Oryctolagus cuniculus: one gene and its partners. The protein of the gene in region 7 interacts with the protein of the main gene of each other region in a pairwise test. Links are inferred from orthologs where the notes say so. Each region holds a gene or a part of one and is shown on either strand. Other genes may lie near its edges. The genes, in order: APTX, FMNL2, HOXB9, RUSC1, SPG7, SPATC1L and PNMA1.

Region 1 (4,299 bases), on a different chromosome or scaffold from region 7:
TCGGGTGGTCACTGACATCAAAAATAAGTCTTGAGGCCGGCACTGTGGCACAGAGGGTTAACGCCATGGTCTAAAGCACCAGCATCCCATATGGGCGCCGGTTCGAGACCCAGCTGCTCCACTTCCTGTCCAGCTCTCTGCTGTGGCCTGGGAAAGCAGTGGAAGATGCCCAAGTCCTTGGGCCCCTGCACCCGCGTGGGAAACCAGGAGGAAGCTCCTGACTCCTGGCTTTGGATCAGCGCAGCCAACTGGGGAGTGAACCAGCGGATGGAAGACCTCTCTCTCTCTCTGTCTCTGTGTAAGTCTGACTCTCAAGTAAAATAAATAAATCTTTTAAAAAAAATAAGTCTTAATTGTTAAATCAACAACAGGAGTCACTGTGCACTTACTCCCCATGTTGGACCTCTATCCTTAATGAGGTTGTACTATGAGAATTAACAGCAAAACCTGTCTTCAAACAGTACTTTATAGTTTGTGTCTCTGTGTGGGTGCAAACAGTGGAAATCTCTACTTAGTACAGAGTTGGTCTTCTGTATATAAAGTGAATTAAAAATGAATCTTAATGAAAAATGGAATAGGAGAGGGAGTAGGAGGTGGGATGGGAGGGCAGGAATGGGGGAAAGAAACACTATATTCCTAAAAGCTGTACATATAAAATCTGTATTCATTAAATAAAAACCTTTAAAAAAAGAAACAAAACAAGGTCTCCTATAAAAAGCATTAAAAAGGTTAGAAGATTAAAAATTTTGCCTTCATCAGAGAAACAACCCATCCTCTGAGACTACAGGAAAAGCAGATAGGTGTAACCTAAGTGATTTTCTAAGAAGGGAAAACATCTAAAACCCTTTCTCCATAAAAGAATTCATAACAACAGGGGCCAGTGCTGTGGTACATCCAGCTAAGCCAGCACCTGCAAGACCAGCTTCCCATATTAGCAACTGTTCAAGACCTGGCTGCTCCACTTCCAATCCAGCTCCCTGCTAATGCACCTGGGAAAGCAGCAGCAGATGGCCCAAGTAGGTGGGCACCTGCCACCCACATGGGAGACCCAGATGAAGCTCCGGGCTCCTAGCTTTGGCCTGGCACAGCCCGAGCCTTTGTAGCCATTTGGGAAGTGAATCAATGAATGGAAAATCTCCCTGTGAACCTAATTCTGCCTTTCAAGTAAGTAAATCTTTGAATCTTTAATGAACAACTAGAGAAAATCACTGAAGGGTAGTGACCCTCAAGGCCTCTTCTAGAAAAAAAAAAAAAAGATTTATTTATTTATTTGAAAGTCAGGGTTATAGAGAGCAGAGGCAGAGAGAGACAGAGAGGTCTTCCATCCACTGGTTCACTCCCCAAATGGCCACAATGGCCAGAGCTGCGCAGATCCGAAGCCAGGAGCCAGGAGCTTCTTCTGGGTCTCCCACACAGGTGCAGGGGCCCAAGAACTTGAACCACCTTCTACTGCTTTCCCAGGCCATAGCAGAGAGCTGGATCCGAAGTGGAGCAGCCAAGACTTGAACCAGCACTTGGGATGCCAGCACTGCAGGCAGTGGCTTTACCTACTACATCACAGCACCGGCCTCTCAAGGGCTCTTAAGTTGGACACCTTGAGTTCAAATCTGGGCTCCACCATCTACTCATTGCATGGCTTCAGTCAAGTTATTTAACCTCTGAAGCTTTAAACCCTTCTCAAATAAAATTCCTCTACGTTTGTCACAAGGGCTAAATGAGACAGGTGTAAAACTCAGCGTCTGGCAAAACTAAGCAGGCAACACCATCATCGTTCTTGTTGACAGTGAAGGTATGATGAACGCAGAAGCAGAGAACGGGTAAAGGCATCATCTAGGAGCGGCTGTGGCCTAGAGCGTAAAACCAGCACCTGCAGTGCCGGCATCTCATATGGACGCCAGTTTGAGTCCCAGCTGTTCCACTTCCAATCCAGCTCTCTGCTATGGCCTGGGGAAGCAGCAGAGGATGGCCCAAGTCCCTGGCCCCTGCACCCGCGTGGGAGACCCAGAAGAAGCTCCTGACTCTAGATGGGCTCAGCTCCGGCCACTGCGGCCATCTGGGGAGTGAACCAGTAGATGGAAAACCTCTGCCTGTCTCTGCCTCTCTCTCGCTGCCTCTGCGTCTCCGTAACTCTACCTTTTAAATAAATAAATAAAATAAGATGATCGGCCAGCAACGTGTAAGGTGCACGGGCACAAACCTATACCTGTGCTTCTCCCCACTTCCCAACATAAGCCACACTCCCAGAAGGCTCCAAACCTGGACCACATTCCTTCCAAATGCGAAAGATCTTTCTACTGTACTGAGCCGCTAGCCCCGGTCTCTAGGGGAAGAGGCTTGCTCGGTCTGGCTTTCCTAAGAGCCGCTGAGAAGTTTGTGAAGGACCCTCGAGCTCCTTCGAAAGCGCTTCTGGCGGAAACGCTGTCCCTGCCGACAAGCTGGGCCGCCTCCTTGGGTTGGACAGAGCCCGCTCTCTAATTAGTCCGTGTTCTGCTTGCGTTGGGTCCAAGCTCAATACAGAGGTCAGGGACACGCGAGAACTAACGCCAAGTGGGGCAGAGACCACCGCGAGCGCCTGCTGAAACGGCGCCCGGGAGCTGAAGGGAGAAAGAGGCAACGTCTTCAAAGACGCAACAGCCACGAGAGCGTCCGTGAGGACACGTCTCCCAAGCGTAGTGGCTGCACGGACCTAGCGCCCACATCCGCAGCTCTCAACCCAGCCAGGAGAGGCAGGCCTACCACTGCCTTACCGCTCGGCGACACAGAGCGACGCGCTCACGTTACTCCAGCCGTGCCTCACAGCTTCCGGCGCTGCCGGATCACGTCGCGAGACAGGCCACAGCGCGGCCGGTGATGTCACCACGGCCTCTCCGCGGATTGGCTAACAGGCTCTCCCAATGCCCGGATGTAAAAAGTGCCCACCCACAACTGGTCCCTCACTGGCCCAAGCGTGGGTCTTGGCAGTTAGCCCAGGCGAACGAGCTGTCTCGGCGTCTACCTAAGGGCCATTCGCTTGTCGCTGCCTCTCAGTCTGGACTGCACGAGACTTCAGGCAGCAAACCCTCCCGTGGCTTTTTCCAGGCGGCCATGCTGCCTCCTGACGCTCCCGTCGCTAAGCAGTAGCTCACTGCCTGTAAGGTCATCTCCCCTGCAGACGAGACCTGCTGAAGCATTGCCGTCCCCTTTCTAAACTACAATGCATCTTCTTCCCGTTCAGGAGACAAAGGGCTGCAGCGGGCAGAGGCCGAGGAAGCCTGCTAAGATTTTTTTTATTTTTTTTTTTTAATGCTGTCTTCACTAAAGGAACTCCTGGACAGTCAGGGAGAGAAGCAGGATGCAACAATCAATGATATGGGCACTGATTTTTAAAGCCATTCCAGGACGTTCCCTAACCCCTGTCATGTATTGCAATTATTCCAAGGTATTTTGGCAGAGGGAAGAATTTTTTTTTCATTTCTTTGAAAGGCAGAGACAGCGATCTTACGCCCACTGGTTTACTCCCCAAATGTCCAGAACAGCTGATCTTAGACCAGGAAAGAAACCCAGAACCATTAATTCAATCCAGGTCTCCCATGTGGGTGGCAAGGGTCCAATAACTTGAGCCATCACAGCTGCCTCCCAGGGTGGATATTAGCAGGAACGGGTGGCAGTATCAAACCCCATGGAACAGGGGTAAGAGGACATCTTAACTGCTGTGCCAAACACACACACCCCAGATGGAAGATCTTCTATCTCATGGGTGAAGACATAGTGCATATTTTTTAAAGACTTTTTTATTTATTTGAAAGACAGAGTTAGAGAGAGAGAGAGAGGTAGAGTCAGAGAAAAAGAGGTCTTCCATTCCGTTGGTTCACTCCCCAAATGATCGCAACGACCAGAGCTGAGCCGATCCGAAGCCAGGAGCCAGGAGCTTCTTCCAGGTCTCCCACGCGGATGCAGGGACCCAAGGACTCGGGCCTTCCTCTACTGCTTTCCCAGGCCATAGCAGAGAGCTGGATCGGAAGAGAAGCAGCTGGGACTCAAACCAGCGCTTATATGGGATGCTGGCGTTGCAGGCTGGGGCTTCAACCTGCTGTGCCACAGCGCCGGCCCCATAGTGCGTAATTTTTCTCAAACACAATAGAAACCAAGCCTTGAAGAGTCACATTTCTTGATCAAGGTGGACTACTGTTTTCTTCCATGGAAAAGCAGAGACCCAAGGATATGATGAAAATACTAGAGCTGTCAAGACAAGAGGCTCTTCGAGGAAACAGGAGAGACTCGTTTTTGCTAGCAGCGTTACATTAGGGTCACACCAGGAAG
Region 2 (3,500 bases), on a different chromosome or scaffold from region 7:
CATTTCTTCAGGGACCAGTAATGATAGAGAGATCAGTAAGGGACGAGGGAAACGGGAGTCCACTTCCACAGCTTCCCAAGCAAGGGCATCGAGCAAAAGCTTTCCGAAAGTATTGATTCAGAAATTTTGGTTGTGACATTCCAGGTAACCAGTTGAAACAAAACAAAAACTACTGCTTGTTTTAAACCAAACTGATCAAATATTGAGCACTATTTGAGAGACAACTGAAATAAACAGGTGGCCTGCTGTAAGTAAATACAGAAGTACGGCCATGCAGCAGCGGCTGTTCTGCACAGCAGTTGAGATGCTGCTTGGGGCACCTGCACCCCTCGTGCAAAGGCTTGGGTGGGAGTCCCAGCTCCAGTGCCAGTTCCAGTCGCCTGCTGATGCATGCCCTGAGAGACAACAGCTGACTGCTGTTGAGGTACCGATGTGGGGGAGATCCGGATAGAGCTCCAGTGCCTGGCTTGGGGCCGGGGCAGTCTCTGCTATTGTGGGTATTTGAGGAATGGATAAGCATATGGAAAATCTCCACCCTACCCCAATCCTTCAAATAAAATGACATTAAGTTTAAAAAAATTTTTAATTTTGTGAAAAATGGAATTAAGTTTTTTAAAAGTATGGTCATGTAATGTTGGCAGTGGTTTCAAGAGAAACACAGAATGGGTCATTTTACTTTATGCCAAATGCTCTTAAAATTTACCTATTTCTGATTTTTTACATCTCAATGAAAATAATCCTAAGCAAAGACAAGGTCAGGAGGAAGCATGGAGATTTCTACTGTTCAGACTGAATCATTTAAGTTCAGAATTATTGAGCCTACAAGTTCTCTTCCGAAGTGGAAGCCGACCAGCTCACTGGAGCACTTACAGAGGGTTTCTGGATCACTCACTTGGCCTAACCACAAACCATGAATATGCCCATTTGCAGAGTGATGGGAAAAGGTAGAGGAAACCAAACACACGCAGTACTCTTTAAAAGAAAAATGTAGAGGAAAATAAATGAGCTGTTCCATGGGAAAAAATAACATTCCTCCACAAAAGGGACAACTCAGTTCACAATCAAGTGAAGTACACATCAGAAGTTATCAAAAGAATTTGGACCTCATAATACTGGAATTTCTGAGAAACACCATTTTTCTGTTCATTTTCACAGTACTGAATGCTCTGTTCAAAACATGAACAAGTGAACAATCTCTGAGGACCTACAGACTAATATTCAACTTGGAAAAGTCCCTCAAAGAAAGCTGCATCCCTGTTGGTACAGAGCTGACATCACACTGGGAGGACACTTCCTCCACGAAGTATAGTCAGGTTATTTAGCACAGCAGCTAAGGGACCCCACATCCCACATGGGAGTGTAGTTCCAGGCTCAGCTACTCTCTTTCGGATTCAGCTTTCTGCTAATGTGCACCCTAAGAGGCAGAAGATGACAGCTCTACTACTTGGGTTCCTGCCCCTGACATGGGAGACCCGGATTGAGCTTCATGCTCCTGACTATTGTAGATATCTGGAGAGTGAACCGTTGGTTCAAGTCAGGAGCTGGAGCTCAGGATTGAACCCAGGCACTCCAATGTGGGATTTAGGAATCTTAATCAGTATATCTTAACCACTAGGCCAAATACGTGCCCCTGTTTAGAATTTGAATAGCCATCAGACAGGAATGTTCAGACCTGCATCACAGAGTTAGCTAATCCTGCCCATGGCCCTGTGTGAACATATTTAAGAAGGTGGCTAAATTCAAGAGATACTCCTTTGACTCAGACCAAATTCCCATATTTTATATCCTCCCATCTTGCAGGTGATGTCAATCATCTAACTCTCCATAACCGAAGTCATCAGGAAACACAACCCAGCAGAACCTAGCAGGCAAGCAGACAGACTTGATTTTGTTTTATGTAACACATCTGGTTTCTTTGAAAGACCCCAGAGTGGCTTCTGACAGCTCTCTATCCTAGGTTAGAGCTCATTGCTACACTTCAGCTCCTTTAACTTATTGCCATAAATGCTTGTCATTACTTCTGCTTTGCACCCAGTTGAAATGTCAGCAATTTTTCCCATTCTGAGACCGACTTACGTGAGAGATGTTCTCTTCCAGTTCTTCCACCCTCTCCAAGGCTGCATTCTTGGTTTCAGCATCTTCCAGCAGAGCTCCTACATCAAACACATTGTCCAAGTAAGCCTGAATCTGTACCTGCAGCTTGTCACTCTCTGTGTGTTTCAGCTTCTACAAACCAGAACGTGACAGAAGACGGTGTTAGCTTCTCTGAGGAAGCAGAATATACCAAGAGTCTATGCATTCTGTTTGCTCGAAGAGCCCAGCTTTTCCACAAGAAGGCTGAAGATATCATCTACCTTAAAAGAATTGTGGAGTAACAGCCTGAGGGAGGACCACCAGATTACATTCTGGTGACTACACTCTCCCAAACACACACACATTTTCCTCCTAATCCTTCCTGCTCCATGTAATTAGGTTGTAACCTAGAACATCTGGGTGTAGGTGAAATTGGGACAACAAAAAACATCCAAGCAGCTCCCAAAGGAAACAATGGCTAGCAACGTAAAACTTGAGGGTTGTCTGTGTAACACGAGAGACTAGAGGGAGTGGGACCTTGCCTAGAAGTGATGGGGTTGCAGCGAGGCCAGAGGGTTAGGTGGAATATGGGGTAGACACTGCTTGAGTTTATACTTAGCCTTCAGGCTTATTTTAGCAAATTCCTAGGGCCTATATCCCATGATTTCTTCCCTAAGGTAGAGCGCCCAACAAAAACAGCTCAGGGCTCCCAAAGCACAGATCAGAAACCTTTCCCCAGCTTGCTGCATCCAAGGTCAAGCATCAAGAATAAACTCAGCTACCTTTAAGATGATACTAGAAGGCAGCCGGCACTGTGGCATAGTGGGTAACGCAAACGCCAGCAGTGCCAACATCCCATATGGGTGTCAGTTCGAGTCCCAGTTAATCCACTTCCCATCCAGCTCCTGCTAATGTGCCTGGGAAAGTAGTCCCTGGACCCCTGCACCCACATGGGAGACTCAGAAGAAGCTCCTGGCTTCAGATTGGCTCAGTTCTGGCTGCTGTGGCCATTTGGAGAGTGAACCAGCAGATGGAAGATCTCTCTCTGCCTCTGCCTCTGCCTCCCTGTAATTCTGCCTTTCAGACAAATAAATAAATCTTCGCGGAAAAAAGGATGACAATAGAGGTCAACAATCAGTAAATCTTCCCTACATGTCATAGGTTATGACCTTCCCTGGAGGAAAGATGAGTGGTGAGAATAGTATCTGGTACGTGGATGATGTCAATAAACATTTATTGAACAAATCAATGACTACCTATAAAAAAGTACTTAGGTCACTACATGCTTATAAGATAGCTCTTCTAATCACACGTATCCATCAGGATCCAGAATTAACATAACACAAAGCTAAATAAACACTGAGTTTTGGGAAAAAAATCTTAAATTTTGAAAAGGTATCCCACTCTATAAAAGTTCTCATGAAAAT
Region 3 (3,495 bases), on a different chromosome or scaffold from region 7:
GCACACACACAGCCCATAGCCCAGCAAAGTCTGTCTGGAAAACCCATTATTTCGAGGCGGCCATTTGGCCAGGATCAATTATTAACAGTTTTTTCCTCTTTCATATTTAATGCGGCTGCTAGTCCCAGCCCAGGCACTCACATTAAGGAAGTAGCACAGCACATTGGTAAGCCAGGGTACTGAGTGTAGGATAAGCAAAATTGTTTCTTAAAGGTATTCAATAGTTTTTATTTGGAGAGAATGAAACTAATAGAGAGGGTGGTTGTGGTGTTTAATGAGCTCTGTTGGATTTGGCAACTTCTGTGCGTCCCAGTGTGGGAGGAGAGGTGGGCAGAAGAGAGCCTGTGTATCTTGATTTCTTCTTTTTGCCCCTCTCCGACTCAGTGTGACTGTTCTCTCTGTCCCCAGCCCTCCCCGGCAGGTAGAGTCCAGGCGTGCTGCACAGGGCTTTTGGTTCCCCTGGCTCTCCACCTTGGCACTGGAGCAATTTTGCTTCCCACTTTCCCTGAACTTGTGTTGTAAGCAGCCCGTGCACTGAGCTGTAGGCAAGGAGACACTATTGCAATCATAAGTTATCTGTGAGCCCAGCACTGCTGCGTTCCTAGGCTGCAATTGATAGATGGGTGCAATTGGGTTGTGTGTGAATGGGAGTGTGCAGGGTGGCCACGGCGCTCGGGGCAGACCCTGTGTTTGCGGTGTGTGGCAAGTGGTGTGCATTGGGGGGCCGGGGGGAGCGAGTTGCACAGCCACACTTGCCTATGGCCTGCAGGCGTGAGAGGACTCATGGCACTGGAAGCCTGAGAGGTTTGCCAGCTGTGGCTGAGCAGAAGCCCCCTGCTCACCCACCCGATGCCCCGTCTTGTTTCCCAGGGACCTAGAGTCAGGACGCTGCAGGTCAGCCACTGCTCTAGCCAGCCAGTGCTGTTGGGGGTGGCCAGGCGGCAGCCAGGGTGGAAGTCTAAGCAGTTAGGAGGCACCTGGAGAAGGCTGGAGTGAGCGCTTGAAGCAGCACAGCCTGGGGAGTGCTGGGGGGAGTCTGGGCATGAGTTTGAGTCTGTCCTGTCCCCTGGAGGTGTCTGCCACAGAGCTGGCCCCTCTCGGGAGCTGGCAGGCCCAGGTGCCTCTTCTCTGGGGCCGGGGAGCACCCTGTTGGTCTTGGTCCCTTCCCTGTCCCCTCCCTTCCCTTCTTTGATTCTGTCGCTGCTTCTCTTTCAGCCAACCCCTCCGCCAACTGGCTGCACGCTCGCTCTTCCCGGAAAAAGCGCTGTCCCTACACCAAATACCAGACGCTGGAGCTAGAGAAAGAGTTTCTGTTCAATATGTACCTCACCAGGGACCGTAGGCACGAAGTGGCCAGACTCCTCAATCTGAGTGAGAGACAAGTCAAAATCTGGTTTCAGAACCGGCGGATGAAAATGAAGAAAATGAGTAAGGATCAGGGCAAAGAGTAAAGAGGAGCCCAGCCCCCACCCCCAGCCCTCCCCAGCCCTCTCCGGCTCACTCTTATTTATGTGAAGGTTGCAAAGCCAGTGCCATCTGCAGTGTTTGAGTGAGTGGGGAGGGGAAATCTTTCTCTTCCAAGTCCCAGAGCCTCGCTCCCCTCCCTCGCCCCTACCTGACCCCCTGCTTCTCCCTGGGCACCCGCAGGAAGTTTCCTTGAGTTAGAAGGTAGAAGTAGTTGATTGCTAAGACCAGTGATGGACCACATGGGAAGAGAGACCTGAGTTTTCCTGGGAAGCTGCAGCCCTCACAGCCTGCCTGTCCCCTCCCCCGAGGCTGAGGCTGTCCACAGTCACCCAGGCACACTCCAGGTGCATAGGGCCCAGCAGACGCCCATGTATATAGAGCCTAGCGTGCACGGTAACCAGGGGGGAGACGGAGCGGGGGTCCTAGCCCTGAAGCAAAGGCACAGCAGGAAGAGGTCAGAGAGGGACCCTTGTATGAGGTGCTTCAGGCCTCAGCAGGGCCACACTGTCCCCATGGGGCAGACCCAGTGCCCAGGCCAGTAGGGTAGAAAAGGCAGAGTAGTTTTATGAAGAGCTCCCCCCTCCCCCCACTTTGTTGCAGGAAATGTTTAATTCTGCATGATGTTTTCCTCTCCTTCCAACAAAAGCAGGTCACCCTGTGGGTCCTCCAGTTGTGACAATGTGGACCCTGGTCCGTTTGTGCCCCACTTGACATAGACCGTAGCTTTCCTCCATCTCCACCGGCCCCGCATCCCTCCTTCCACATCCTCCCTAGATCGGAAGTCCACTCTGGTCAAATCCACCTTGCACCAGCGAATCAGCTGCCCCTTGTAAGAGAAACCCCTACACACACACACACACACACACACACACACCGCCCGCCCCCTGCCAGGTCGGCCCCACTATAGACAGGAACGTCAGATCAGGGGAGCCCGATGGAGAATTTAGTGTGAATTGATGCCTGAGCGCCTTTCCGGAGTAAGTTGTCGGGGACCGGGACCAGCCATGGCCCCAGCGCTCGGAGCTCGGCGTGTTTCTTCCCCTCCCGACCAACCCGGAGGAGCCCGATGCTCTGCGGCCGCCCTCCGCGCCGGCGCCCCGCTTTGCCTCCCGCTATGCGGGCCTGGATGCCGATTGGCAGCCGCCGCTGCAGCTTGCATGCCCGCGTGCAGAGCCCAGAGGCCAAACCGCACCTAAGCGGCAGGAGGAAAAGGACTCTCTGCCTCCCTTCCTCGCCCTGCGCCCCCACCCCTCCGTCCCGCGGGACTCTTCTCCCGACCCTGCACAGGGGCAGTTCCAGTAGAACTTTCTCGCTGTGTCCGTGGCTGTCGTGAAATTGTGCTTGTGTTTTGTGATTTCTTTGGGGGGTGATCGTCCCGCGTGTTTTCAGTCGTGGCTTCTGGGGGGGGGGGAGGGTGGTGGGTGGGAGTGGGGTGGGTGAGGAGCCTAGAGCTCTAATTGTTTGTTTTGGAAGAAAAAGAAAAGAAAAAAAAGAACAAAAAATATATATCACTCTAGAAAAACAAATCTCTCGTGTCTTCTTTTGTGCGAGCTGTTCCCGGTCTGGCCATAGAGAGAGACTCCCAAAGTGGGATTTAGTCGTACAAGCTTGACTGTGCCCAGGTGGCCCCTAGGCAGCGCTCAGAGCTGGCGCCAGACCCAGGCCCCCAGAGCCCTGCCTGGACAGAGCGAGGACCAGGGGAGGTGCAGCGGGAGGGGAGAATGGAGCCAGGACTGGGTCTCTCTGAGTGGGCTTTCCCCCCACAGTTGCCCACCGCCTGGGGAGCCCGGAGAGGGGGGAGTAAAGCAGGCAGTGCAGGTCTTGGGAGCCCTGCGCTCTGGCCGCTGAGAGAGAGGGAGGCCAGGGAGGAAAGCAGCAGGACCCCTCCGCCTTTCCCTGCCCCCAGGTGCGAGGCTGAGGGCTTCGAGGGGGCGGAGGTGGGGGTGGGGCTCCTTAGGGTTCCTGGGGTCCCAGGCACCCCTGTGAACTAACCAGGACCTAGCAGCCTTGGTCTGAGGGCGTCGGGTC
Region 4 (4,203 bases), on a different chromosome or scaffold from region 7:
GCCAGCTCAGGGCTGGCCAGGCAGGGTAGGGCCCCCCGCGTCGGGGGCGAGTAGGCTCCCACCGGGGACAGGCGGACGGGCAGCAGCTGCTCCTCCGGGGGGCTCGGCGCCCCCAGCAACCGCAGCCCGGCGCCCGGCCGCCGGGCCAGGGGCGCAAGGAGCAGGGACCCAGCTGCGCCCGCGCCCTCACCCGCCAACAGGGGGCGCCCGTCGGCAGAGAGCCGGAAAACCAGGGGTCGGGGGAGTAGGAGGGGACCGGCTGCAGGCAGGATTGGCGGGGCCAGGCGCAGAGGGGAGGGAGGGCAGCGGGGCCAGCAGCCAGGCAAAGAGGGGCGGGAGAAAGAGGGAGCAGAGAGTTAGTCCCGTAGCCCAAGGGCCCGCCCGGTTTCCCTTTCCCGGAGCGCTCCCTGGTGGAGGGGGCGGGGAATGACACAGAATGGAGACAGGGGGCGGGGCTGGAAGCTCGGGAGGAGTGGGCGAGGCCGAAGCCCAGCCCTCCTCTCCGGTTCCTGCAGTCTCTTACCCTCGAGGCCGCTCTGCGCGCCGGGCTCCTCAGGCTCCTTCGCGGCTGGGGCCTCCTCGCCAGCCGCGGGGCTGGCCGCCCTGCCCTCCTCGGGCTGCCCCTCCGCGATGGGTTGTAGCCCGAGCCGGTTCTTCTTCCTCCGGGGAGGGACGGGCGGGGGTGGGGGCCGGGGCGGCACCAAGGCCCAGCCAGCTGGGGGGTCTCGTGGGGGCACGGGCGGGGGCGGGGCCCGGCTTCGGGACCGCAGTTCCTTGAAGGTGGTGACCTCCCGCGGAGCCGCCGAGGTGCCGCCCAGCGAGCCGGCGGGGGGGAGCTCGGTGTCCGGAGAGAAAACTATGAGCCAGTCGCTGCGATCTTTCTTGGCCTGCGGCACCGGGGGCAGCCCCGAGCCCCGCTTGCGCTTCTGGGCCAGCTCGTGGAAGGACGTGATTGTCCGATGGGGCGCCGGCTCTTCGCTGACGTCACTTCTCCATCCCCCATCAATTTTTCCTGCATCTGTTTGCGAGCCGGAATCAGCTAGTCCTGTGTTGGTTTTCCAACAAGAGTCGAATTTCCCAGGTTCCGTTTTCCAGTTAGTATTTCCGTTGGTTTTCCAACCAGAGTTATTGTTGTCGGGGAGGTTCCATCTAGCTTCAGCGTTCTCTGTGTCAATTTTCCAAATGGGGTTGATTTTCCAACTGGGCTCCGTTTTCCCAACATCGATTTTCCCATCTTCCGCCTCCGAGAGCTCAGAGGTGGGAAGGTCCTGCTCCCCACTCTCCTCCTCGTCCTCCAGGCTCGGGGAAGCGAGGTCCTGGGCGGCGGTCAGGGCGTTGCAGTTGGAGTCCAGGTCAGGGCCGGGTGGGGAGGAGGTGCCTGAGCAGGAATCGGGGGAGCAGCAGAAGCTGTCCGGGGAGCAGGGCCCAGGGCCTGCTGCAGCAAGTGGGGAGCCCTGCCCCGGGGGCACGATGCTGGGCTGCGGGTGGCCATCCTCGGTGCGAGGGAGGTCGCGCAAGTAGACGGAGACCGGCGACTCGTCCGGGCTCAGGTCAGAGCAGGAGCTGAGAGAGGAGGAGCAGCCCGGGTCCGAGGGAGAGGCCACCCCTTCCTCCTCCTGAGACGGATCCTGCCGGTTTTCTAAGGCTGCTGGCCCGTGTTCCTGGCAGCATCGGCAGGGCACGGCTGGGCTGTTGGAATTGGCATCCACCAGGGTCCCGCTGCAGGGGCCCCTGCTCTCCTTGCCCCCAGTGTCTCCCGGGGGAGGGGGTGTGCTCAGGGGCCCCTCGCGCAGCTCTGGGCGGCGGGACAAGTGCAGGCCTAGGGAGACGTGCTGGAGGTGGATGTGGTTGAGGTTGCAGAGTAAAGCCCTCTGAGGGGACAGCATGGTGCCGGCGGCGACGCGATGGCCTCTAAACCGGGAGGATCCGGCCTCTCACATCCACCTACCTGGCAACCGCAGAATGCAGACCTAGAAGCCGGGGGTGGTGAGACCCAGCCAGTGAGGGCAAGGGCCGGGGAAGGACACGGAGGTGACTGACTCTGGCTGCTTTGGAAGATATTTAAATAAGATGCAAATCGCCATCGACTGGCCTTTAGTTTCCACTGCAGTGTTTGCAGGTGGAGTCGAATGTACAAGCCCCCCCACACACACACACACCCCGCCCCAGGAAAGGAGCGGGAGGGTCAGAGAATGCGGCCCCGTGGGGGTGCAGAGGCTTGGAAGAAGATGCAGCCCAGAATGGATCCCCCGGCCCTGCTGCAGCAAGCTGACCCTGCCCTCCCTCCAGCCTACACCTCCCTCTCAGAGGAAGGGGCCAAGGGAGACCCCGCCCAAAAGGTCTTAAAAGCAGTGGGGGGGGGAGGGGCCGGAGGGGATCAGGGCAAGCCCCGTTAATGCAGGAAAGGGGCGGGGGCTGGAGGGGGAGAAGGACAGAGAAGCCGTCAGGACGTCAACTCTGCATCCGCAGGCTGCCCTGCACCGGCTCCAGCCTGCAGCCTCCGTACGCCCTTACCCGGCTCGCTACCGAGGTCGCCTGTCCATTCTCTCGCTCATCTCCATCATCTAACCACCACCCACCACCCCTGCGCTATTCACTAATACTCCCGCTGGCCTGCCCCACCCCGCCAGCCCCGGTCGATCCCACGTGCCGAGCCCTCCTCACCAGGGTCCTCCTGGAACCGCTCCGGCCCTGGGCTGGTCAGCGGCTCCCACCGTCCCCGCCCGGCGGGGCACAGAGCCGAGGGGAGGGGAGGGGCGCTGGGCCAACCCGCTCCGCTGCGCAGCCGCACCCCTCCGCGCATGGGCGTGGCGTAGCCCAGCCCCGCCTCCCCGCGCCTGACGTCTTGCCTGTGTCACCCACCTAGAGCCAGCCTGCAGCCGCCTCGCCCCCGCCCCGACACAGCCGGGCCCCAGGTGACTTGAGCACGCACAGAACCACAAGGTTACACAATAATTTATTGACAGCCTCCTCTCCCCTCCCTCGCGGCCTCCAGGTCACTTTTTCCGCTTGTATATCTTGCGCGCTAGCCCCAGGAAGATGGACGCGGGTAGGGGCGCAGCGTACTGCTCGATGAGACCCATGAGGTGGCCGTAGCTGTCCTCCTCGTACTGCGAGAACACGGCCGGCAGATCCAGCTCCTCGTACAGTGCCTTCACCCGGGCCACCTTCTCGGCCTCCTTCTGCCCATAATTCTCCTGGGGGGGGGGGGAGACTGCGCTCAGCCTTACCTACCCTCGGCCTCCAGCTCTCCACACCCTTCATTCGGATTCGAGAACATCCACTCCTGCCCCCTGCCCCAGCCCAAATGGTCAGATACTGCCTGGGGCTTCAGCTTCCTCTGCCCTCGAATTTCGCCACTTTGGGGCCAGATCATTCTTTTTTTGGGGGTGCTGGTGCTGTTCTGCGCACTGTGCGAGGAGGAGCAGCTCCCAGTGGACACTGGCAGCCTGCGACAGCGACCACCTGCAGACCCTGCCGGACGGCACCCAGGGGTGACACCCACCCCCCGGGGTGAGACTCCCGGCTGCCCTGGCCCTCTCCCGGGCACCTGCAGGATCTGACGCTGTTCCGGGGTGGCCCGCTGCAGACACTGGACCACCAGCCAGCTGCACTTGTTGTCCTGGATGTCGGTGCCAACCTTGCCGGTCACACTGGGGTCCCCAAAGAGGTCGAGGTAATCATCCTGGCGGGGGCAGGCAGGGAGGAATGAGGCGGCTGGGGGGGGGGGGGGCGAGGAAGCTGGTGCCGGACCCCCCACTGCCTCTGGCCTTCCTACCTGAATCTGAAAGAACTCCCCCATCTCCAGCAGGATCTTCTTGGCATTCGCGTGTTCCTTCTCCCCGTCAATGCCTGCCTGGATAGGGAAGAGCCTAAGGAGCCGACCCCCAAGGCGCTCCAGCTCCCTGGCCGCTTCCTCCACGGGCTCTGGTGCTCCTGTGGCCCTCAGATCACCTCCTTCAGACGTCCTCGGCCTCCCTGACCCGGAAGTCCTGACTGACAGTCCACCTTCCCGGCCACTCCTGGGAGACCAGTTCTGAGGGCGCTCAGACTCACTCTGCCCTCACAATTCCCAGCTCCCAGGTCACTTGGGTCCCCTCTTGTTCTTCACCTTTGTGTCACCTCCAGTTTCCTCCTGGGTGAAGAGCACTTGGAGAAGCAAGGCCTTCTGGGACCTGGCCTTCGCCCACGTGACTGAACAGT
Region 5 (4,257 bases), on a different chromosome or scaffold from region 7:
GGCACCACAGTACTCGGGTCACACGGCACCACAGTACTCGGGGTCACGCGGGCACCAGAGCACTCGGGGTCACGCGGGCACCACAGCACTCGGGGTCACGCGGGCACCACAGCACTCGGGGTCACGCGGGCACCACAGTACTCGGGTCACACGGCACCACAGTACTCGGGGTCACGCGGGCACCACAGTACTCGGGTCACACGGGCACCACAGTACTCGGGGTCACACGGCACCACAGTACTCGGGTCACACGGCACCACAGTACTCGGGTCACACGGCACCACAGTACTCGGGGTCACGCGGGCACCACAGTACTCGGGGTCACGCGGGCACCACAGTACTCGGGGTCACGCGGGCACCACAGTACTCGGGTCACACGGGCACCACAGTACTCGGGGTCACACGGCACCACAGTACTCGGGTCACACGGCACCACAGTACTCGGGTCACACGGCACCACAGTACTCGGGGTCACGCGGGCACCACAGTACTCGGGTCACACGGGCACCACAGCACTCGGGGTCACACGGCACCACAGTACTCGGGGTCACGCGGGCACCACAGTACTCGGGTCACACGGGCACCACAGTACTCGGGGTCACGCGGGCACCACAGTACTCGGGTCACACGGGCACCACAGTACTCGGGGTCACGCGGGCACCACAGTACTCGGGTCACACGGGCACCACAGTACTCGGGGTCACGCGGGCACCACAGTACTCGGGGTCACGCGGGCACCACAGTACTCGGGGTCACGCGGGCACCACAGTACTCGGGTCACACGGGCACCACAGTACTCGGGGTCACGCGGGCACCACAGCACTCGGGGTCAGGCGGGCACCAGAGCACTCGGGGTCACGCGGGCACCACAGTACTCAGGGTCACGCGGGCACCACAGTACTCGGGTCACACGGGCACCAGAGCACTCGGGGTCACGCGGGCACCACAGCACTCGGGGTCAGGCGAGCACCAGAGCACTCGGGGTCACGTGGGCACCACAGTACTCAGGGTCTCACTGGCACCACAGTACTCAGGGTCTCACTGGCACCACAGTACTCGGGGTCTCACTGGCACCACAGTACTCGGGGTCACACGGCACCACAGTATCCAAACAATGCAGACTGCAGGCACTGGGCACAGCAGGAAGACAGCACTGGGGACCCACAGCCCCTGCTGCAGTGTCTGGGTTCAAGCCAAGTGCACCCTGGGAGACAGCAGATGAAGGCTCAAGAGCTCGCTCTCCCGACACCCGTGGGAGACCAGTGTGCGGTTCCTCGCCCTCAGCTTTGGTCTGACCAGTGTGCGGTTCCTCGCTCTCAGCTTTGGTCTGGCCTGGGACCAGCTGTTGCGGGCATTTGGGGAGTGAACCAGCAGATTAGAGATCTATATCTCTCAATTAAAAAAACAGTAAAAGTTTCAATAAAAAATTTTAAGCTCAAATATAAATTTGCTTACAATGCCCTGAAATGTGACTTAACTATCTGAACATTATTTCCAAGTTTTGAAGTAACAAAGCAACAGCTCCTGAGCCAGCCAAAGGCCGGAGCTGACTGCCCTGCACCGCCCAGGCCCTCGCAGGACGCCAGGGGCGGTTCTCCAAGGTACTGCTCAGACCCCTTCTGCGTTCCCGACCCCAGCTCCTTGCAGAACCCCACCAGGTACCAAGGCAGCGCGCCAGGGTAAGTGGCCGCCTGCAGTGCCAGCACGCCACATGGGTGCCGATCCAGCTCCCTAACGCTCCCGGGAAACAACGGAGGACGCCCAAGTTACGGCTCCCAGCTCCTGGCTTCAGCTGGGCCCAGCCATTCCAGCCAAGGTGGAAGAAGTCTCCGGCTCTCCCGTCGTCTCTAACTCTGCCTTTCAAATGCATACATATTTTTAGACCACGGTCCGGTTTAATCTGTCCCATCTCTCTCCCGCCACTTGTTTAAGTTCTGTCCTCAGAGCATCCCTGCCCGGCTGAGTCTCCCGCCCCCTCGTGTCCACAGCAAGGACAGCGGTCAGCACCGCGGGGGGCAGGCCTGGACCCTTCCTGCCACCACCCCCGGCCCGCGGGGGGCCTGGGGCTTCCCCGGCAAACCAAGGGGGCCACAGCCGCCGGTGAGACAGCCTACTGCAGTCTTCGTGGCACAGAACAGGATGTGCAACAAATCAGCACTGGCCTTCGGGTTCAGCGCGACCACGGGTCCGGGTTTAGGGCTATATAGATTACATATAATTTATAACTTAATAGTTCCCTCACGGATCACGGTAAAACACGACGTACTGTAACGTGAAACCTGAGGGTGAGCTTCAAGGGCCAGAAAAGCACACTCTGGGGCTGCTTCTGGGGTCCAGGCGCCCCGACCAGGCGCGCCCCGGGCTCCGGCCCTGCGGTCCCGCGGGGGACCCGAGACGGGTCCGTGCGCCTCTCCCCCAGAACAGCGACACCGCAGCACGGCCCGCCAGCCTGGCCTGCAGGCTGAGAACCGCTCCGCCAGAAGCCGCACACTCCGGAGACGGCAGCAAACACCCGCACACCGCGTTCACACCGGGAAGGCCGCCGTCTGGGCTCAGGGCGCCGCCCGCGGGGTTACCTGTCGGGCGCCGCCTCCGGCACGGCCCACTGGAGGCCTGAGGGCCACGTACGGCCGCCTGCTGCAGGCTCCGTTAGAGACGCCCGGGCTCCAAGCAGGGCCTGGGCGCCACAGCCACACGGGACCGGGGCCCGGGCCTGGCCGAAAGGCGCGCAGCAGCAGCATTGCCGCCATCTTGGCCAGAGACCAGCGCCTGCGCAATCTGCGGGCGTTCCCTGGGCGTCTGCGCGAGCAGGGCCTCCTCACGGCGCCTGCGCAGTCGGGCGCGGGCGGGGCCCCCTGCGGCGCCTGCGCAGTCGGGGGCTTCCTCCGGACGTCTACCCCGGCAGGGCCTCCTTGGGGCGCCTGCGCGTTGAGGGCCTCGACTGCGGCTGGGGTCTGGTTCTCGTTTATTCCTGCGGAGCGGGCGGCCTGGGGCGCTTCTCACCCCAGCGCCGGCGCCGCTGTCTCGAGGCCCAGCAGTGGCGTCTGCTGCCTGCCTGGACGGAAGCGGGGGCCGTGCCCGGGAGGGGGCCTCCGCCCTGGGTCTCGGGGCCCTGGGAGCCCGGAGCGCAGCCTGCACCGCGAGGGCGGAGGACGGGGCAGCGGGCGGTCCCGCCGCGCCCCGGCTCTGCAACGTTCTCTGTCGCCGCTCCTCGGCGGCGCCCGGTCCCGGGCTTGCGTGCCTCGCTGTGCGCCCGCCGGCTGCGGGGAGCCGGAGAGCTCGCTGTGTGAACATGGCGGCGCGTGGTTCTGGGTGTTGCTATTTCCCTGTCAAAGCCGGCCGAGCGGGCGCTGTCAGCACCTGTTTTACAGGTGAGGAAGCGTCCCTCCGGGTGTGCGCAGGCCGCCCCCGCGGGTCCCGGGTGCTGGCTCTCACCCCTGCAGGGGGTGTGTGTGCAGGGCAGCCGCGGGCCCCGGGCTGCCCCGCCGGCCTCGGGTCCCTCCTTACTGCCCGGGCACCCCCGGGGGGCCGCAGGTGAGAGTCCTGGCCACCCCCGTGGGAGGCTTGGGCTTCAGCCTGACTCAGCCCCAGCGCTCTGGGCATCTGTGGAATCAGCCTATGGTTGGGAGTCCTGGCTCTGCCCCTCGGAGGGATGAGATGGCCGTGCCAGCTTGTGGTCGTCTGGCCAGCTTGGTCCCGTGACTACAGTCAGGCTCCCTGGGCAGCTTGTGCTGTGCAGCCCCGGCAGGAAGTGACCAGCACCCAGCCCTCGGCAGGTGACCTGTGACTCAGCCTCAGTAGCACGGGTGGCCTGCGAAACCACTTGTTCCGCCCTGGAAGGCAACCACAGGCAGGACTCCAAATTCAGTACATATATAGCACTCATTTTTAAGTTTCTGTTTATTTGAGAGGCAGCGAGAGGTTTTCACCCACTGGTTCACTCCCCAAATGGCCTTAATGCCCAGAGCTGGGCCAATCCGAAGCCAGGAGCCAGGAGCTTCTTCCCGGTCTCCCACGCCGGTGCAGGGGCCCAAGGACTTGGGCACCTTCCACTGCTTTCCCAGCCATAGCAGAGCTGGATCAGAGTGGAGCAGCAGGACAGGAACCGGTGCTGGAGGTGGAGGTTTAGCCCACTATGCCACAGTGGGCAGGCTGTTTTAAGTTGATAATTCTGTATGGCCCGTGAGTGATGTTATAAATATCCCAGTGGCCCTTGGTAGGAAAAAGGTTCTCGAAATCCACTCCAGCAAAGGCTAG
Region 6 (4,234 bases), on a different chromosome or scaffold from region 7:
CAAAGAAGAGTGCCGAAATAACTGTGTAAAACTTCCAGACAGATGTCCAGAACACAGCGAGGGGCGGTGACCCTGCAGGCTGGGGCACAGCAGTGCAGCGAGGTACCCTGGGCCCGGGGCGGTGACCCTGCGGGCTGGGGCACAGCAGTGCAGCGAGCTGCCCTGGGTCCGGGTGGTGACCCTGCGGGCCGGGGCACAGCAGTGCAGCGAGCTGCCCTGGGTCCGGGTGGTGACCCTGCGGGCCGGGGCACAGCAGTGCAGCGAGCTGCCCTGGGTCCGGGCGGTGACCCTGCAGGCCGGGGCACAGCAATGCAGCGAGCTGTCCTGGGCCCGGGGTGGTGACCCTGCGGGCTGGGGCACAGCAGTGCAGCGAGCTGTCCTGGGCCCGGGGCGGTGACCCTGCGGGCTGGGGCACAGCAATGCAGCGAGCTGTCCTGGGCCCGGGGCGGTGACCCTGCGGGCCGGGGCACAGCAGTGCAGCGAGCTGCCCTGGGTCCGGGCGGTGACCCTGCAGGCCGGGGCACAGCAATGCAGCGAGCTGTCCTGGGCCCGGGGTGGTGACCCTGCGGGCTGGGGCACAGCAGTGCAGCGAGCTGTCCTGGGCCGGGGCGGTGACCCTGCGGGATGGGGCACAGCAGTGCAGCGAGCCGCCCTGGACCGGGGGCGGAAGTGACAGGCCCTCCAGCAAGGCAGAAGAGGGATCACGAGGGTAAACGGAATGAGACATTGCTCAATTTTTCTGTTTCTTTTAATTTCTTTAAAAATATTTTATTTATTTGAAAGGCAGAATTAGAGAAAGGGAGAGAGAGATCTTCCACCCACTGTTCACTCCCCACGTGGCCACAAAAGTCAGAACTGGGCCAGGCCAAAGTCAGGAGCCAGGAGCCGTCGGATTCTGGAATATGGCCGAGCCACTCGAGACCCACTCACGGCAGCACGGGCAGTCCTCTGTCTCAGTGCAAAGAGCACCGGTGGCCCAGAGCTGCTCCAAAGGAGCCGCCAGCGTTTCGGCCTCTGAGAGCCGGCCTGCAACACCAGGACCCCAGCTGGCCGCTGCGGGCCCCTGGCAGTGCGCGGGAGGCAGACCGAAGGGACAGGCGCCCAAGGAGTGAGAGCGAGGCTGCGCTCCCTCTGGGCCTGTTCAACATGTGCATCACAGGCCCACCAAGCCGAGCCACGGTCCAGGAAGGCCCACACAGGGAGGCCTTGGCCGCGTGGCGGAAGGGGACAGAGTGGACATCTGCGATGCCCGGTGTCAGGGAGCCGTCAGTACAGTGGACTTCTGCAGAGCACTGGGAGTGTCTACTCAACAGCCCTGGCCTTTGGCCGAGGAGCCCTCACCCCTGCCTGGAGCTCGTGAGGGCGAAGCTGCTGAGCCAGTTACGTCCCTGGGGCGTGAAGGGTCTGTTGCAGCAGCTCAGCGGCTCCAGCGCTGCGGGAGCTCCCACGGGCAAGGGGGGAGCTGACGGGCAGAGGAAAGCTGTGCGCCAGTGAGAGACAGGGCCACAGCACGCGGCTGAGACACCAGCGTCCCCCGGGTGCCCAGGGAGGTCCCAGGCCCTGAGCTCCGCTACCAGCCTCACAGGGCAGGGACAGCAACCTTCATGGCACTGGGTCTCGGGCGGCACTCTGCTAAGCGTCCCCACCAAGGTCAACGGCGCTAGTGAGGCCGTGTGTTGCGGTAGCTGGCATGTGACCGTCAGAGGGTCTTATGCCTGCTGCTGCCGCTGGGCCATCCTGCACCGCAGAGTTTCCAGGGGGAAACTCGGGGCTCAGAGCCCCAGATCCTGCTGGACACCAGTCTCTGGGAAAGCCCAGCTTAAGGTCTGCAAGCCTTCCGCAGAGACCAGCCTCCTGGGCATGCAGTGGGCGTCAGCAGCAGCCTTGTCAGCAGCTCCTTCCTGCAGCCGGCAAGGCTCCCAGGCCACCTGCCCCACTGCTGGGACGGGCAGGCTGGGATGTGCCCTCTGTCCCCATCCTGGCTGAGCAGGCACCAGGTCCAGGGCGCAGCTGAACTTGCTGGATGAGAGGTTCCGTCCCAACCAAAGGCCAAGGCCACACCCATCAACCACACTCCCAGCCACACTTTCCATGAATGAAACTTTTTTTTTTTTCACCAGAGCCAACTACTTCTGCAGAAAGTGATAAAACTCTAGGTTCTCTGTAAAAAGCCTTCGAAGGCTGGAGTCCACCTGGCTGGTGAACAGGCCACGGCTCCAGCTCACTCCCCTGCCCACTCGCGCTGCACAGGCGCCCTGCAGAGCCCACGCACCGCCAGTTCCAGGCCACCCCGGCCGAGGGCTAGCACACTCCACTACATTCCAGGTGCAGACCCAGTGGCACAGAGAGCAGGACCTTCCCCGAGGGTGCGGCAGAGAGGGCCCTAGGGCCTTGGTCTGCCAGACCTGAGCACAGGACGCTCGTGCAGGGAGCAGGCCTCCTCCACACCCCCGGTGCCCAGCCCGTGCCTCACCTCCGCTCACGGGGGAGCAGGCTTCGGGGTAGGCAGACGCCTTGGGGAAGAGGAGGTCCCGGCCCCCGCGGCCGCAGGTCTCCTGGCAGCTCTCGCTCAGCAGCCTCTTCAGCATCTGGTTCTCCTTCAGGAGGCGCACCTGCTTCTTCAGGTCTGCGTTCTCGCTCATGAGCCTGCTCATCAGCTCGCTCCCCTCAGCCATGTTGAGCCCTGGGTGCTCAGGGGTGGGCCTGCGGCCCCATCGAGATGGAAATCCAGGGCCCGCAGATCCTCCAGAAACAGCCTGAGACCACAGAGTTCCACAGCTGCCCTGCCTTCCGCGGCCTTGTGATGTCACTGCCCGGCCCTGGCCGGGCCCCTCCCACCCCTTGACCCCGCCAGGCATGGAAGTCCGATGCCCACAGTGCACAGGTGGTATCTGAGGTTCAGATACCACCAGACTGTTCCAGAGCGGCTGTGTCACTTTGCACTCCCACCAGCGATGACAGCTCCCATTACTCGTCAACATTTGGTCTTGTCAGTGTTCTCGACCTGGCCATTGTAACAGGAGTACCACAACAGCTCATGGTTTTAATCTGCATTCCTCAGATGAATATAAAGGTAGAGTATCTTTCTCTTTAGTTTTCCAATTGGGGAGCACATAGTGTGCTTTTGTGCCATCTGTGTGTCTTCTTTGGTGAGGTGTTTGGCCCATTTTTCTTATTGCTGAGTTTCAAGTCTTTTTAGATACTAAAACTATCAGATATATCTTTAAAAAAAAAAAAAAGACTTATTTACTTATTTGAAAAGCAGAGGGAGAGACAGAGATCTTCCATCTGCTGGTTCACTCCCCAAATGTTCCCAATAGCCAGGGCTGGGCCAGGCTGAAGCCAGGAGTCTGTAACTCCACGTGGGTCTCCCTTGGTGGCAGGGATCCAAGTACTTGGGCCATCTTCTGCTGCCTTCCTAGGTGCATAGGCAGGAAGCTGGATCAGAAGCAGAGCAGCCAGAACTTGAGCCCGTGTTCCAAGACGGGACGCCAGCTCTGCAGGTGGCAGTGGAACCATGGCTCTACAACACCGGCCCTGCCGCTCCCTTGCCCGCAAAGGAACGACACTGTTCGCAGCTTATCGGTCTTCAGCAGACTTTTAATGGGAAAATAACAGCGACAGAGAAAGAATGAAGGGAGGAGAGTGGACAGAAAAGCCCCCTCCTTCCTCAGCACATAGCTTATATACAAAATCTGGCCAATTGCAAGCGGGCTCAAGTCCATGCACGGAACACTCCAATCTGCTGTCTGTTCACGCAGTGTGCACGCGTTCTCGGGCCAATCAGATGAGGTGTCACGCAGCAGGCAGGCTCGCCGCACGGTCCTCGGCGCCATCTTGTTGTTTACAACATTCTCAACTCCTCTGGAAAGTCCCGACCGTGGGAAAGCATTGCCCTAACCGAAACTAGCAACATCCGCCTTGTGATAAAGACACAGCAACAGCTATCAGACCGACCTTGACGTGGGGGCTCCATGGCTGCGCATCCCTTGGGGCCCCACAGGCCCTAGCAGTCACATCTTGTGCAGTTATTTCTTCCTGGTCTGTGGCTTTACATTCTCTTGACACACCTTTTGCAAAGCAGAAATTTTCAGTTTTAAGTGCAACTTATCAATGTTTTCTTTAACGGTTTGGGCCTTTGGTGGTGCATCTAAAAAGTTGTCATCAAATCCAAGGTCACCTAGGTTTCTTCCAGTGTCATCTTCCAGAAATTCTGTAATTTTGTATTCTGCAT
Region 7 (4,025 bases):
GTTCAAATGTAGAACATTTAAAATCTGGGTGAACAAGAACTATTTTGACAAGGACTGGAAGGGGAGTGGGGGGATGGGTGGGTCACTGTCACCGGGTCCTAGCCATCTCCCCAGGTGGTTTCTCTGCGCGACCTCTGATCAGCACAGCTCCGGAACTGCAGTCCTTTTCCAGCGCCCCAGCTGGAGTCTCAGAACACTCTGTTCCACAGATCCGGCTCTTTAAAGATGAGCACTAAGAGATTTGCACTGTGAGGCTGAGCAGTATTACCTAAACAATGCACGTTTCTTTCCATTAATATAAACATGGAATGATTTACAGTCAACACACACTAGCCTCGACGCTGATAACAATGTGATGGTTCACGGTTCCTGCGAGCCAGGCCCTGGGCTAAACATCTGCACGTGCGACTTCACATTTATCTCCATGGGAAGAGTCACGGGTTCACACTTGTCACAGCCGAGGGTGCCGGCATGTCGACAGCGGGCGCCGCAGCCAGCAAGCCCATCGGCATTGTAGCAGCTCCCCATGCTCTGTGCAGTGTCGGCGGAGTTACAGGAACGGGCAGGCCAGAACCCCCTCCCTCCAAGAAAAACACAACGAAAACAGCAGGCAGCTAGGCCTTTACTACTCGGGACCAGGACAGCAGCTGCGGGCCGGGTCTGCACGGCAGCCCTCTTTCCTGGGGCTCAGAAGTGCCCCTCCAGGCCCAACTGCAGGAGCGCGGCCTCAGCCTCCTCCTCCTCCTCCTTGGCCTCCTCCTCACGGATCTGCACCAGCAGCTGGAAGAGGTTCGGGGCCGGCCCTTCCGCAGCGCCGGTCAGCCAGAGCTGCCTTCGGAGGGTCCCGCTGTGGTTGGCCCCGGCGATGACCTGCTCCAGGCGGGCCTGGTTCACGTTCTCTTTATCAATGGCCCCCTTCTCCACCACCTTCTGCAGCAGCGGCTCCAGACGAATGACGTAAGCCGACAACTTCTCTCCCGGGTTCTGGTACGTGTTCAGAAACCTGACCTGCGCATCCCTAGAGCTCTCCACGCTCCCGAACACCTGCTCCAGCGCCTTCAGGCACTCGCCGGTGGTGATCGCGGGGTTGCTGGTCTTGAGGATGCGGATGACGTCGGCGGCGGGGCCCCGGAGGCTCTCCATCAGCCGCCGCCTCTTTTCTGTGTCGGACACCTGCCACTCCTCTATGACTTCATTAGCGTGCTCCAGCCAGCAGTCAAAGCTCTCCTCCCCAGGCCCCGGGATGTCCCTCCCCGAGAACAGCGTCAGCTTCTTGTACCATATGGACTCCACGAGAGGCTGAATAACATTATCCAAAATATAGCTGAGCATCTCGGCTGGCATTTCGGGGCCCGGGGCCGGGGCCGGGTTCTGAAACCCAAGGACGCGGGCAACATCTTGCACGGTCCACCCCTCCCGAGCTAGGAAGAGGTGCAGCCTTTCTAAAAATTCAGCGTCAGACGTGGGGGGCTTAAAAAGCACTTTCCACACCCCTCCTTTGCCAGGCATCTCCCTGGGGATCGCGGCGTAATCCACAGCGCCAGTGAGCTCTAATAAGGCTGCTTTCGCGTTCTCTTCCCTCCAGAACATTCTCCCAAGCACTCGATACGGCACCTGGGGCATCGCAGCCTGGAGGGTCTCTTCGATTTCAGCCTCATCACAGTTCACTAGGATCCCCCAAACCAGCAGCGCTCTCTGGGAGTTCACGTCCATGCCCCTGCACCAATCTTCCAACAGCGTCATCGCCATGTTCCCAACTATCAAAGGTACCGATTCGACAGATACGGATCAGACTGCGGCTCCCCGAACTCCAACCAACACCAGACACTCCCCGCAAGCAGGCGCGCGGGCGGCAGGTCCCCGCGGTCGCTGGTAACAAGCGACACCCAAGCCCCGCTGTCCGTCTGCGGCTCCCCGGCGCGGCCTCGCAGGGGCTCAGTCAGTCACGCGGCTGTCGCCATCTCGCGTCCCGGGTCGGGGTCTGCGGCCCCAGAGTGCAGCCTGCGGGAGCCGCGGGGCCCGGGAGCGCCGGGGTGTGGCCGCGGGGCGTGGCCGCCGCTCCCGGAGTCGCCCCGGCGCTGGCGGTCCGAGCCCGGCCCTCAGCGGGGCGAGGAGCGGCAGCCCGAAGGAGCGCTCGGCGTGCCGGGCCCGGCGGGAGAGGCTGTCCGAGGTCACCGCGGCGGCAGCCGGGCCAGCCGGCGAGCAGCGGCTTCTTCTCGGGCGCGGGGACCCCTCCGGACAGCGAGGACCGCTGAAAACCGAGGGCTGAGGGGAGCAAAGACGCAGGAAGGATGCAGAAGCGAGGCGGGAGGCGAAGGCTGGTGGGGCCGGCCGGGCTCGCGTGGCGCGACGGGCTGCGGCGGCTGTGGCGCAGCTCGGCAGCCGGCGCGTTCCCGCCGCAGTGCAGGGCGGGGCCGGCCCGCGAGCCGCGGCCGCCGCACCGGATCCAGGTCGCCGGCGAGGCGCGCGCGCGTGACCATGGCAACGGTGTCCCGGACGACGCGCTCCCGAAGACTCCGTGCGCAGCGGCGCGGGGTGGGGGGAGCGGTTGCCATGGTACCGCAGCCATCAGATGTTCCAGACTTTTACAATGAAAAAAAAAATACCAATAAGCATCGAGGGCTTCTGTCTTCTAATCCGGAGCGGATTTCAGATACTAGTGGGTATCACCCGTGGTGGCTGACTTGCTCATGCAACTGGCGCATCAAGCCAGGTGCGTGGACGGCATCTCATCCAGAGGAAACGAAGGCTCCCAAGTATCCCACTTGTGTGACACACAGACTGGACACTTCCTCTTATCTTTTTTTTTTTTCTAATTTTTTTTTTTTTTTGACAGGCAGAGTGGACAGTGAGAGAGAGAGACAGAGAGAAAGGTCTTCCTTTGCCGTTGGTTCACCCTCCAATGGCCGGTGCGCTGCGGCCGGCGCACCGCGCTGATCCGATGGCAGGAGCCAGGAGCCAGGTGCTTTTCCTGGTCTCCCATGGGGTGCAGGGCCCAAGCACCTGGGCCATCCTCCACTGCACTCCCTGGCCACAGCAGAGAGCTGGCCTGGAAGAGGGGCAACCGGGACAGAATCCGGCGCCCCAACCGGGACTAGAACCCGGTGTGCCGGCGCCGCTAGGCGGAGGATTAGCCTAGTGAGCCGCGGCGCCGGCCACTTCCTCTTATCTAACACTTAGTCAAAAGGCCGGCCACCTACCTACCTACAGCTGGCAACGCACCAGTATTCTGTAATCCCTGCCTCGGGTACTCTTCAAGCCAGAGCAAGGGCCGCTTCGGTCAATCTCAGAGGATGAAAATCCCCCAAAAGAACACAGCATCCAACTCTGAATTTTTAAAACCTTATTTAATGAAAGGTTTAAAGATACAGAAGAACATTCAAAAGTAAATAAGTTACATAGGTACATTACAATCACATCAGCAAGATTCTCTTTAGTGTATTAATTTTTATATAAAAAGCACACAAAAAATAAAATCTTCCATCTGCTCTATCACAACTGTACAGCCAAAGAGGTAATATTTATATATTTATATATATGTACACCATTTTCATATGTAACAGTCTTTTTTAAAAAAGGTTGCCACAGGCAGCAAACACACAAAAGGCAGTGTCTGATCATCTGTTTCAAAATAAAAGGAATATACTTCTTTATATGCTATTAAAATATTTGTACAATAATTACAGACTGTCAAGGCTGTCCCCTCCTACAAGGCCTTCAACTTGGAGACAAATGAGTAAAAGGTGAAACAGAAACAGCTGCAAATCGTTAGAGGCAAACAGTAACACAGCAAAATGGGGGGGGGAGGACACTTGTTTTATAAAAATATGCACACTTCCTGTAAACCTAAAGGAGTCAGGCTTGCCAGTCTAGTAATAAATACTGTCCAGAAAAGCGGGCCCCCGTGGAGAGGGTGCTAAACAGCCGAGGCTTCGGGATGTGTTGTGTTCCTTCTTCATCTAGGCATCTGGCACATGAGAGATCAGGTCACTGAGGCAGTTAAGTATGGGCAGTTCCTTTGGCCG

The links.
Region 1: the proteins of PNMA1 (region 7) and APTX interact in binary tests that used the Homo sapiens proteins (3 or more experiments, as listed by UniProt). The two-hybrid records come from large-scale screens. The link is inferred for Oryctolagus cuniculus from reciprocal best matches to the Homo sapiens genes PNMA1 and APTX.
Region 2: the proteins of PNMA1 (region 7) and FMNL2 interact in a two-hybrid assay, tested with the Homo sapiens proteins (2 studies listed by BioGRID). The two-hybrid records come from large-scale screens. The link is inferred for Oryctolagus cuniculus from reciprocal best matches to the Homo sapiens genes PNMA1 and FMNL2.
Region 3: the proteins of PNMA1 (region 7) and HOXB9 interact in binary tests that used the Homo sapiens proteins (3 or more experiments, as listed by UniProt). The two-hybrid records come from large-scale screens. The link is inferred for Oryctolagus cuniculus from reciprocal best matches to the Homo sapiens genes PNMA1 and HOXB9.
Region 4: the proteins of PNMA1 (region 7) and RUSC1 interact in binary tests that used the Homo sapiens proteins (3 or more experiments, as listed by UniProt). The two-hybrid records come from large-scale screens. The link is inferred for Oryctolagus cuniculus from reciprocal best matches to the Homo sapiens genes PNMA1 and RUSC1.
Region 5: the proteins of PNMA1 (region 7) and SPG7 interact in binary tests that used the Homo sapiens proteins (3 or more experiments, as listed by UniProt). The two-hybrid records come from large-scale screens. The link is inferred for Oryctolagus cuniculus from reciprocal best matches to the Homo sapiens genes PNMA1 and SPG7.
Region 6: the proteins of PNMA1 (region 7) and SPATC1L interact in binary tests that used the Homo sapiens proteins (3 or more experiments, as listed by UniProt). The two-hybrid records come from large-scale screens. The link is inferred for Oryctolagus cuniculus from reciprocal best matches to the Homo sapiens genes PNMA1 and SPATC1L.

The regions. Positions count from the first base shown.
Region 1 is NC_091432.1:196,420,894-196,425,192, forward strand, and holds the start of APTX (aprataxin), read right to left. Parts: upstream 2,801-4,299; 5' UTR 2,268-2,800; coding exon 2,257-2,267; intron 1-2,256. UniProt on the Homo sapiens protein: DNA-binding protein involved in single-strand DNA break repair, double-strand DNA break repair and base excision repair.
Region 2 is NC_091434.1:89,261,057-89,264,556, forward strand, and holds part of FMNL2 (formin-like protein 2), read right to left. Parts: intron 2,227-3,500; coding exon 2,077-2,226; intron 1-2,076. UniProt on the Homo sapiens protein: Plays a role in the regulation of cell morphology and cytoskeletal organization. Required in the cortical actin filament dynamics.
Region 3 is NC_091448.1:24,894,128-24,897,622, reverse strand, and holds the end of HOXB9 (homeobox protein Hox-B9), read left to right. Parts: intron 1-1,215; coding exon 1,216-1,451; 3' UTR 1,452-2,995; downstream 2,996-3,495. UniProt on the Homo sapiens protein: Sequence-specific transcription factor which is part of a developmental regulatory system that provides cells with specific positional identities on the anterior-posterior axis.
Region 4 is NC_091438.1:43,229,694-43,233,896, forward strand, and holds the start of RUSC1 (AP-4 complex accessory subunit RUSC1), read right to left. Parts: upstream 2,801-4,203; 5' UTR 2,665-2,800; intron 1,971-2,664; 5' UTR 1,887-1,970; coding exon 524-1,886; intron 260-523; coding exon 1-259. Other genes in the region: FDPS (farnesyl pyrophosphate synthase), read right to left, coding at 2,997-3,197, 3,551-3,685, 3,779-3,856. UniProt on the Homo sapiens protein: Associates with the adapter-like complex 4 (AP-4) and may therefore play a role in vesicular trafficking of proteins at the trans-Golgi network. Signaling adapter which plays a role in neuronal differentiation.
Region 5 is NC_091449.1:69,189,019-69,193,275, reverse strand, and holds the start of SPG7 (mitochondrial inner membrane m-AAA protease component paraplegin), read right to left. Parts: upstream 2,801-4,257; 5' UTR 2,751-2,800; coding exon 2,577-2,750; intron 1-2,576. UniProt on the Homo sapiens protein: Catalytic component of the m-AAA protease, a protease that plays a key role in proteostasis of inner mitochondrial membrane proteins, and which is essential for axonal and neuron development.
Region 6 is NC_091435.1:687,924-692,157, reverse strand, and holds the start of SPATC1L (speriolin-like protein), read right to left. Parts: upstream 2,801-4,234; 5' UTR 2,676-2,800; coding exon 2,474-2,675; intron 1-2,473.
Region 7 is NC_091451.1:19,888,785-19,892,809, forward strand, and holds the start of PNMA1 (paraneoplastic antigen Ma1), read right to left. Parts: upstream 2,801-4,025; 5' UTR 1,750-2,800; coding exon 688-1,749; 3' UTR 1-687.